Linked DNA regions of Drosophila melanogaster. The protein of the gene in region 1 interacts with the protein of each later gene in a pairwise test. Each region holds a gene or a part of one and is shown on either strand. Other genes may lie near its edges.

What was found.
Region 2: the proteins of CG14443 (region 1) and CG14837 interact in a two-hybrid assay, tested with the Drosophila melanogaster proteins (one large-scale study listed by BioGRID).

Annotation. Positions count from the first base shown.
Region 1 is NC_004354.4:6,632,147-6,636,673, reverse strand, and holds CG14443 (uncharacterized protein), read right to left. Parts: upstream 2,716-4,527; coding exon 505-2,715; downstream 1-504. UniProt on the Drosophila melanogaster protein: Probable ATP-binding RNA helicase.
Region 2 is NT_037436.4:7,555,233-7,561,872, reverse strand, and holds CG14837 (uncharacterized protein), read left to right. Parts: upstream 1-1,835; 5' UTR 1,836-2,050; coding exon 2,051-2,150; intron 2,151-3,176; coding exon 3,177-3,651; intron 3,652-4,297; coding exon 4,298-6,005; 3' UTR 6,006-6,093; downstream 6,094-6,640.

The sequences.
Region 1 (4,527 bases):
TGAACGGTAGGCGAACCAGCGAATTGGTGACAGAAGCCCAAATGATTCGATATGGATCGAGATCTAGGCGGATTTTCACAATTTATAACGATAGAAAACGTATTAAGTTTGAATATCCTATGACGGTTCTTAAAACTTTAAGGTACGCATAAATACATAAATGGCACATGTAAATATCATAAGGGATTTAGTATGAACTGAAACCGTATTTGAATATTGATGCGCCTGCCATGCATTTTACTTAGCTGCACTTCACTTGCATAACATCACGTCTTCTGAGCTCTGGATGCACAACTTTCTTTGCGGACGTGCCATCCATGCCTCCCATTCGTCATTACCCCATTTTTTAGTCCCCCCCCCCCTCCCAAAAAAAAAAAAACCATTTCAACTGGCCTAGTTAAATCAATAAACATTTAAAGGGTTAAATCCATTATACATTAACAATTTAAGTTAGTTAAGCCATCAAAATGTTTGCCAATAACATATATATCCGCTATATCGACCCTAATGCATGCGATTGTAGCGTTGCGGACGATGGCGCCTTCGTTGACGGGGACCAAACATCTTTTCTTCAGCGAGCTGAAGAAGATGCGGTCCAATTTCTTGTTTACAGATCTTAAGAAAATCGACCACTTCCGTCACGAGCTTGTAGTTTGCCATGGTAAAGAAGCTGATGACCTCGCAGTTACGGTTATACGACAGGCATCCCGTTCTGCTCATGCGTTGAACATACTTATCAATGTTGTCCGGGAAATCATAATTGATCACATAACGAATGCCTGGCACATCCAAGCAGTTCGATGTCATTTGCGTGGCCACAATGATATTGTAGGCGCCAGTGCCAAAATCATGGATTATTCCTTGATTTTCTTGGGCAGTGCGTCCACCATGGATGCCCTCGCAGGGTACACAATTCCGGATCAAATCCACCAGTTCTTCCACGACCTTTTGGCGCTTCACATAGATCACCACCTTACCGGGAATATCGCTTGTATCGTAAATAGCAGTCAGCTCCTTCATAAGGCGTTCTACTTTCGATAGCCCATTGACTACCTCCACCCGCTGGCGGATGTTTTGTAATCGCACGCCTATATTGTTTATTTCACCCACGCGAATTGCGGTGTATTGGCCCAAAAACTTGTTGGCCATCCGTTTCAGATTAGATGACCACGACGTGCTGCTGACGATCAATTGGGCATGCGGACGTAGACGGCATAGTAGTCGGCAAATGTTACCCTCTAAGCCCACATCAATCATGCGATCAATATTGTCCAGAACCAAATATGTGCAGCGTTCCAGTTCTACAACATGTTTTTTGTTATCAATCATTTGAAGCAGGCGACCAGCAGAGGCCACCAGCAGATCGCATTCGGCATGACCTTGCCATTGACTGTTGCCCAAGAGGCAATGCGTCCTAAGCTCGAGAGGATTTGTATAGTACAATACCTCTCTTTGGACCATGACAGCAGCCTCACGGCAGTCCACCAATATCAAGACAATCGGTCCTTTCTTGTGCTGCATTAATCCGCGCTGATTGTGCATCTTCATTATGCCCGGCAATAGATAGCCCAATGTTTTACCCGTACCCTTTCCAGAAATCATCACAATATTTTTGCCCTCCTTGGCAATCGACCATGTTTGTGCCTGAATGGGCGTGGGCCCATCATAGCCTTGATCCTCCAGTTGCTGTAATATGGTTGCATTGAATCCGCTGCGCTCGAAACTCAGCACAGGCTCCGGAAGGTTTCGCATATTCCAGCTGGTCAAGGTGATATTGTGGCGTTTCCGATAATTAGCGGCATTATTATACACCTCATCCATCGGCTGCTTCCAGGTATTGTAATTACTAGGGCGGCTTGGGTTTTTGGATTGGTCCTGATAACACAAAGTATTCCGATGGGGACTGCGGCTTCTGGTGAAGGAGCGGCTAACCAAAATCTTTTGAATGGAGCTGCAACTCATGCTCCTCGATTGACTCTTCTTCCAGGGAGTGCGCATTCCGACCCTCCACGAATTGCGGCCGCGATTGGACGGACTTTTGGGTTCTGGACTCCCGTACGTCAGATCATTTTGGGTCTTCGAAGGACAAAAGCGCTTTTGCGGTAGACTGCTGCTCCTGCTTCTTGATTCTTTATTTTCACGAGAGGTTTTCACGGCCTTGAAAGAATTTGGCGATTGCCAAGTTTCATGAATGCGAAAAACAGCGCTTCGCATGCGTGGCCTCTCTCCCGTATCGCTACCGTGAGAACTTGATCCCGTAGTGGAATCCGAATCGGATGACGAGCCGGAATTGGAATCGGATGAACTCGATTCGGATCCGGAAGAATGAGCAGACTCAGAACTGGACCGCAAATGGGATTTTCCTCTAAACTTGCCATTACCCATGCTCCTGCTTTTCGACCGGGATTCGCGCGTAGACTTGGAAAATCCGCCAGCAGAATGCGGACCACTGAAACTCTCGCTCCTGATTTTGAAATTTGGTTTCTGTCCCTCAATTCCGTGTTGTATTGTGAAAAGCCTTTTCGTAACGAATTTGGAGGACAAGACAGAGCTTGAGGATTTTAAAGATCTGGACTGACCGCTTATGTCCGAAGCGCTGGAGCCCCAAATCGAAGACTTCGTACCCTTAAGGAACGGCTTTTTCTGAACCTTTTCTGCATCGGTTTCGTTGTCTTTCCAGTTTCCAATCACCAGTTTCTTAGCTTTCTCACACATTTTCTGCAGCACTTATTTGCGTTTGTTCACTTCCAATTTTTGCCAAGGCAATAAAAAAATCTCCTTACGAACACAGCGAAATGCCACGTGTTATGAAAAAAGTTGACAACTCTAAGCTTTGGTGTTGGTTAATTTTCAGTGTGTCCTCCTCTTAGTGTTGGTAAATTTAAATACATTTAAATTTAATGAAATAAAAAATTCCCATATGTGTTTGTTATTGTTCTTAATAAAATGTAATGTTATAAAATGTAATTTCTTATTAAGGGGCATGAACTGAGGTTTGAGTCCGTATTAATCTGGAAGATTAATAATTTAAGTGGACTTTTTATGGTCTTCAATATGCTTAATTTCCCGAGTGCAGACTGTTCCAGTTCCGGACTGAGATACGGATACGGGTTTGTACTCCGCTGGCGGAAGTTCAGAGCGCTCTTACTCAATCGAAAGACCCACATTGGGTGGGTTATCTGCCGTATAATTGGCGAGTGTGAGTGTCTGAATGTTTGGTCAATTAAAAGCATTCGCTGGCTTTTTTATCAAATTCAATTAGCCGACGACGAAAGCAAAACAAAATCCAAAAAAAAAAAAACCAAAAACGCCGCAACAAAGTTGCTCAATGCGGAATTCAGAGGAGGGTTTTACCATCTCTCTAAATAAAAATCATAAAACTAAAAAACAAAAAATGAATAAATAATATAAAGTACACATGCATGCATATGCGAGGAGTTCTAACTATAGAAAATCCGTATAATTAACTAGATAAATTGGCAAGCAATTGGCTGTACAGCTCGTTAAGGCTAATGATCGTCGGACAGCTAACGATCTCCTTTGGCTAATTGGCCAACAGTACGGAACACCCCTCCGCGACCCGGTTTTCAGACCACCCTTCATTTAATGTGGCCATCAAGTCGTAATTACGCTCGTTGTTGAAACGATGAAGACATCAAATTGCATTGCATCGCCTTTAGAATTGCTGGCCATTCAAAGAGATTTGTTTTGGTTTAAGATCCCAATCAGTCCGGAGTTTCAATTAAAGTTCCATTAACGCTTCGCGACACACACAATTATCAAAAAATTATATTTATGCTTATGACATTTCCGGCAGCTCCCCAGTTACCCAGCCCCTCCACACTTTCCACCAGTGCAAAATTTATGCTCCCCTGTCTGAGTCATTTCATTTATTTCGAGACAGCGCAGACAGAAGATCAAAGCGACTTCATGATTATGCTGCACGCATATCCATCACCATATCGAGCTCGAGCACTCGCCTCGGGGTGGAGTTGTCTATGGATCCATGGATGCACTCGAGGATTGGGGGGGGGGGGGCATGTGTGTGCAGGTGCTGGTGCAGGTGAGGCTGTGGCTGTGCCTGTCGCTGCTGCTGCTGGGATCGCTGTGTGTGGCTATAGTGGTTGGGGTAGTGGCTAATCGGCACTAAGCGTACAAAAACACGTGACCAGTTACCAAGTTGGTGGATTACTTATAAAAATAGTTAGTCTCAAGCTAAAATCGATGAAAAATGCTCCACAAAATGTGCCATATAAAGTTTTAAAGTTTTTTTTTTTTTAAATATCCTTATTTACTGCCATTTAAGGTCACTCTATACAGTATTACTAAACCATAACGACATTGCCCAACACTAACTTACTTTATTTAATTTGTGCGCCGACAACACATTTCTATGCAACTAATGTTGCACTGGGCATAAATTCTCGGCTATGTTCCCCGAAGAAAATCCACACACACACATCACTGGGAAGAAACGAGAGGAGATCCACGCAGCAGGAGACCCCCCAAAGGGGGCAAGGCGATCTC
Region 2 (6,640 bases), on another chromosome or scaffold:
AAAAATAACGCGCTTATACAAGGTATGAAATTATTTAAGTATTAAGTATTAGTATTTATTTAAGTATTAAGTACACATAATTTCATAGATTTTTAAAGAGGACCATCAATAAACAAATTGCCCATCTAAGCTCAAGATATTGGCGGAGTGTTAAGAGGTGAAACTTTCGCATGGGGGAGGCCATTACATCACAAGATTGGTCGACTGGGTCTCGAGCACTTTTGCTCTATTGTTGAGCGCATTATTAAGCGCCGCTTAGCTTATGTAATTAATGTCAAGCCAAATGGCAGTGCCAAGAGCCCGAAGTGGAGAGTCTAATGAACCAGCTGCGTGTGCTGATTTATATGCGACTTTTTTAGCTGGTTTGTTTGTACACAAGTATGTTATAGGTCTGTCTATCTGTCCCTCCGTCTGTCTGACTGTTTGTTTGGCCTGGCCAAATTGTGTTTTGTCACCGTCACCATCACGGACGACGTCTCTCGATCGCGCACTTAGGCCTCGTTTATGCGCAGGCTCTGCTCGATACTCCAGTTTCTTGGGCCATGTGAATGTGACATAAGTCGCCGGGTGTACGGCCATGATATATGAATATGACAAAGCGACATGGACAACTTTATTGGCTCATGAAAAGCGCTGTCACTGCTTGACTGACATAAATCGCCGAACGGCAGAAATAGGCATTCAGCGCCACAAGAGCCAATCGATTGCTGCAAAAAAAAAAAAAAAAATTGTCCAAAAAAGTGTTTGGCCAAAATAAATCAAAAATCAATCTTTTCGAAGGGCCCCTCGACGATCATCTCTGTGCGGTGGTGTGGGCCACAGTGAAATCTAGCGCAATCGAGCGATTTGCATAGGACAGAATATGCCGAATCGATTGCATAGTTCTTATCTGATTGGAACTGTCAACCCAAGCGGATATTTCGCTTCATTCATGGGCACGGACAAAAACTCATATGGAAATTAGAGCAACAATTGGACATCGTGCAACGTTTCTAAAAATAATAACCGTGTGGAGCCTTCATTGACCAACAGACAAACACACAAGCCCACGTCAGGAATGTTAGCAAGCGAATGCACGCCACCTATCGGGCGAACTGGGCGTATCCCGACACGCTACCCCCTCACACACACACACACACACACACACACACACACACACACACACACACACACACACACACACACACACAGATTTTCGTATCTGAAGCCTTGTTCTTCACTTTCCCTTGTTGTGTTTTCACTTTGGTGACGGGTACTCATAGGCTACCAGGGTATGCCAGCCATTAAGTGATGCTCAGGATCGGTAAACATTCGATTACACATATAACCTTTAAGTATGTTATATTTAGGCAGCCCTAAATGGGACTGAACATTGAACTAAATATTGAAGCTCTATGATTATATCCTAAATATGTTAGATAAACCATCTTATATATAGTTCAGTAAATAAATATATACATGTGTTCAAGCAAACTGATTACACTGATTGGTCAACATCTGAACTAAATTTTGTATAATTCATCTCAGTAACAGGTACTCGCTGGTCTAAGCTCTCGCTCGTCGGTGCCCCACCTTATTTTGTTGCAGACCTAGAACCCTTTTAGCTTTTGGCCTATAACTACCTTAACTATGACTATGGTAAGTGTGCGCCCAACGCGCATGACCTCAGCAATTTCACTTCACTTGAAGTGCAAACGCACATGCAAACTGTGGGGCTCCAAGTGCTCCATGGGTCCGGTTGACCAGTCCAGCTCAGAACGGTCCGGTCCTGTTGCGTGCCCAGTAAATGGCAATGGTAGGGATGTGAATGGGGATTGTCGGCGGTGGTCGAGTGCCGAACTGACCCTTCACTTTAGCAGCGAATGTTTTGGGTCAGTGCTCAGTTGCGTTGAGTTCGTGACCAAAGGCGGGCGTATTTCTTATACCCAATTCATAATCATATTCATATTCGATATAAATAAATCCTCGGCTGTTGCTAAAGCAATCCACATCGATTCCCGCTCCGATCGGCATGGTTCCGCGATTGTCTGGCTCGAATTGAGAAGAAGTCATGGGCTGTGCCAGCAGCACTCCCATGGTTGCAACGGCGGGCAGCGAAATGCTGAAAGCCGCCAGCCATGTCAAACAGAAGGGCGAGGCCGTCGTGGAAGGTGTGTGTGCTTGTGCTTTAGTGTGTGTGTGTGTGTGTGTGTGTGTGTGTGTGTGTTACCAATCCGTGCTGGCCATTAGTTTAAGTGTTGGCCAGCAGATGACATTTAGGAGTGTGCGGTCGAAGGGCAGTTGCAAGCTGGCAGTCGGCGTATACTTGATATTTCGAGCGGATACTTAATTTTCGGCGAAGGACAGTCTTAGATCTAAAGTCAATTATTTGATGTTAAGGTTTCTAGAATTGCATTGGATTATTTTTAGTTGGCACTAAATGTGCTACTCATACTACTACAACTACTAGTAGTTCAACAATGATGGATGGCATTGAGCAACTACTCCTACTTCGATAAACTAAAGTCCTTGACCCCTGGCCCAAATCAATATTAAATCCATCTAATTACCGGCCACCAACAATCTAGTAAATTCCCACTTAATGCCAAAAAGAAATTCGATACATCCAGCCGCAATGTATGTAATAAATTTGGTCGTACTTCACATTATTATAATAACAAGCCACGTAATAAAGGACAATTGGCCAGCGCAATGCGTGCCGCGGAGCCTTTTTTGGCCTGATTTTTCGCCATTTGGCCGCCTTTCAGAGGGTCGCAAGTGAAAGCTGGCTCCATTGCCATCACCCGACCATATTTTTATACATTTATTTAACGCATATGAAGAAAAACGACTTGGTTGCGTGACCAGACGTCAACGAATTAGAGCAAAAACATTGACTTAAAAATATTATACTTACATGTGCACTGAGGGAAAGTACTATTATTAAATGCGGACTAAACTGTGCAAATTGGCTTCAATTATTCGAATATAATGTTTTTTTAAATGAAAATTCGACACCAATTCACGTTTCATGTCTCGTTTAAAAAATTATTAAAATTTTTTCTTTAAACTAGTCAAATGTGGTGTTATTACATTTATTATTTTCTTACTGCACATTTATATACTACTTATATATAAGCACTCCCCTGTCGGAATCGACAACTGAAAGTGCTTTCATTCCCGTGCTTTCCTTGCAGACGCCTCTGAAACACTGACCACCACTTTGGACACGGCCAAGGAGACCGTTGGCACGGCGGTGGCGGGAATTACCACTGAGCTGGGCAACGCCTTCAAGGAGGGCACTCAGGCTCTGGACGAGGCCAAGCACAAGGTAATGGAGGGTCTTCACCTGGAAGAGCCCCAGGTTTCCGAATCGAAAACAGATCCGGTAGAGGCAACGATGAGCAGTTCCCGAGCACCGACGCCCAAAATGCAGGAAGATACAGATAGCCTGAAGACCTCCACTCCAGAGCCGGAGATCGAACGGGCTCTGGCCAACGAGGAGGAGAGCCCACCGACTCCGAAACCCTCGCTGGAGGAGATGGTTCTGATAAGTGCCGAAGTCTCGCAGGCAACTGCTGCTGATGCGCCTGCAGTGGATGCACCTGCCTCGACTGCCGAGCCTTCATCAGCTACAGCAACAGAAGCAACCGAATCCTCCGCTGCCGTGGAGTAAGTAAGCCTAGAGAGCACCTGAAGCATCGCAAATCCGTAATCGCTAACCCGTAACCCCCGTAGCCCCATCGCAAATCCGTAACCTGTAGCGCCACTGCACCCTGAAGTTTTCGCGTAGTTTGTACCTGCAACGTTCGCTTATGATTCGTAGTTTCCGTCGTAGTATCCCGATATTTACATTTATTATGGCCTAATCAACATACTTTCTCCTCTCTCTTTTCTTGACTTGTATGTAAATTGTAAATAAACTTACTCTACTTCTATGTACATATCATATACCCTGCCTTTGTTTACTTGCGACCTCAGCAAATATAACTAACAAGAACATCAACAGCAAAGTCATGTGCGTAGTATTGTGGTAATATTTTAAATATATTTTATACGTTCATTAATATTTTATTCGGTTTGTCGAATAAGTGCGTAATTGCAGAACTAATGACCATAATATTAAAACCTAAAATACATTAACAATTATATCGTTTTGAGATCGTTAAAGATTTGCAAATACCACTTTTACACACACACAATCTCACTTATATACTAAAAAAAACTAAACACACCACCAAAAATTTAAAAAAAAAAATTAATACACTAAAAGACCATCCACACTTAAATTTTTATACACTGAATACTAATCCCCCAGAAGTCGTAAAGTGCGCCGCAAATTGGTCAAAACGAATAAAACGAATGATGAGGAGCATAGACCCAGCACCACCGAGTGGGAGAAATTCGCAGATCAGTTAGCCAAAAGCAAGAAGTTTAAGCCCTACGAAAGCTTCGCCCACGGTCAAAACAAGTTCTCCGTTTACCAGGATCACACCAGTCTGAGGGATAAGCCGAATCACTACGATGGTCATTTTAGCGGTGAAAACTCACAGAGTGCCTCCCAATCGGATTTGTCCAGCGGCCACATAACTCCAGCCCCCACTCGCAGAGGGCAACGGGAGTTTGCCAAATTCGTGGGTTCCGAACAGGCGGGTAGTATATCCCGGTCCAGTTCCAGGCTCTCGAATCCTGCCACTTCCAGGACCTTCGATTTCAATCCCCAACGCGAACGCATCAGTCTTTCCCTGGCCACTCGCATTGGTTCCGGTATTCAAAGATCTCCTGCCGAACGGGTTTCCGGTTGGGGTAGAGGAAGGCCGGCTCCCTTGGTGGAGGAACCTGGATACGGACGCAGAATGAGCACTGGAGTTATTCAACAACCCTTGATAGCCGGAAGAGAGAAATTTCTAGGCACTGGAAGTCGCCGGGCAGTAAAACCCATAACCCCGACAAGGGAAAAGTCTTCTAAGAAGCAGCCTTCCAGGATTATTTCTTCGCGAGAGTCATCTTATTTGGATTTCGATCCTCGCAGTCCACTAAGGATTACCAACACTTTACCAAAGGATGTAGTACGGTCCAGAGAACCATCTTTGAATGAGTTTGATTCCATTAAAGCTCAAAGGACGCCCTTAAAAGGACAAAAGCCCTTTACTAAGGCCGTAGTACCACTAAAGTCTTTGGAAACCAATCACAATCCTTTTAGGCTACACAAACCTTCAGTAAAGGAGACTGTTAAATCTAGAGAGCCATCCTACATAGAATTTGATTCTTTCAAGGAGGATAAAAGTCCTCGGAAATCACAAGCTATGGAAAAGAAAATGGTACGCTCAAGAGAGCATTCGTACCATGAATTTGATTCCTATAAAGCACAAACGAGTCCTTTTAGAACTTCTCTACCTATGCAATCAGATGAAGCCCCGAAACTACCTCAGAATCTCACCAAATCAAACAATATTCCAAAGGAGCAATTACCGCACAGAGATCGCAGTCCGAGTGAAGCAACTCAAACTTCAACAAATCAAAATCAATCCTCTGCACCTCAATCACCTAAAAAGACAGACACTCCAAAAGCTGTTGTTTCCAAATCAAAGATGTTATCACCACCGATTTCCAGGGCTTCCAGCGCTAAATCCTCAGACAGCAGCAATTTAGATGTGATAATCCGACCAATGAGCAGTCTGAATACACCTAGTATAAAGTCCTTTACTCAGTCACCGGATCAAGTTGTTATGGAAGGCTATGAAGATTGCGATTTGGAGGCTGCGCTAGCCAGACTGGAAATCTTGAGAGGATCAACGGCCACATTGCACTCCCTAAGATCCTGCAGTCCTGGCAGGCACACCTATACAGCCTCCTTACTAAGTTCTCGACGTACCTCTCCTTGGGTTATGAGAAAGAATTACGGAGGCACTCTTGGCCATAAAATAAAGCCAAAAGAATTGGTGGAGTCTCTGGAAACTCCACAGGCCACTCATAAAACCCTCGAACGCTGCGATATTTGCTACAATGAGTTTCTTATAAACTAGCTTATTCCATGACCGAGGATAATAGCAAATGTTGAGCTTGTAATTCTTTTGAAATTCTTATATATTTATTAAAATAAATTTATACACGAAATTACTGCCGTAAATAACTGAGAAGATTGCTCAAATCTACTACTTTTACTTTCATTTCGAAATATCATAAATGAAATTTTAGTTAGGTACTTAAGAAAATGTATATTTTTTATATAACATAGAATAACCACATGCCTCATTGGGTTATCTAAATAAATTCCACCTACATATTTACGCTGAAAATAAAAAATATATGTACTAATAGATTGTTTAATATTGTGCAATCTCACAAACTAAGAAGTTGTGTGCCATTGCAACGCTTTAATTACAAAATTTTTATGGCAGGCAATTTGTCTCCCGGGAGTTCAAATCAAAACCGAATCACCCTGCAGTAGGATTTGGGTTCCTCTAATTGATGACTTAATAACGAAATTGAAATGTTTATCTTGCCGTTCACTCAATTATTCTGCCACTTGTAGTTGCCTGCCTCGGCGGCAGGCGGTATGAAGTTCGATTTTACGTTTTACGGCTTCACGTTCCCCGTAGCCGTGATTCCACATGGCTTCCACATCCACATCTCCCGTCCGTGACTTAATGAACTATTA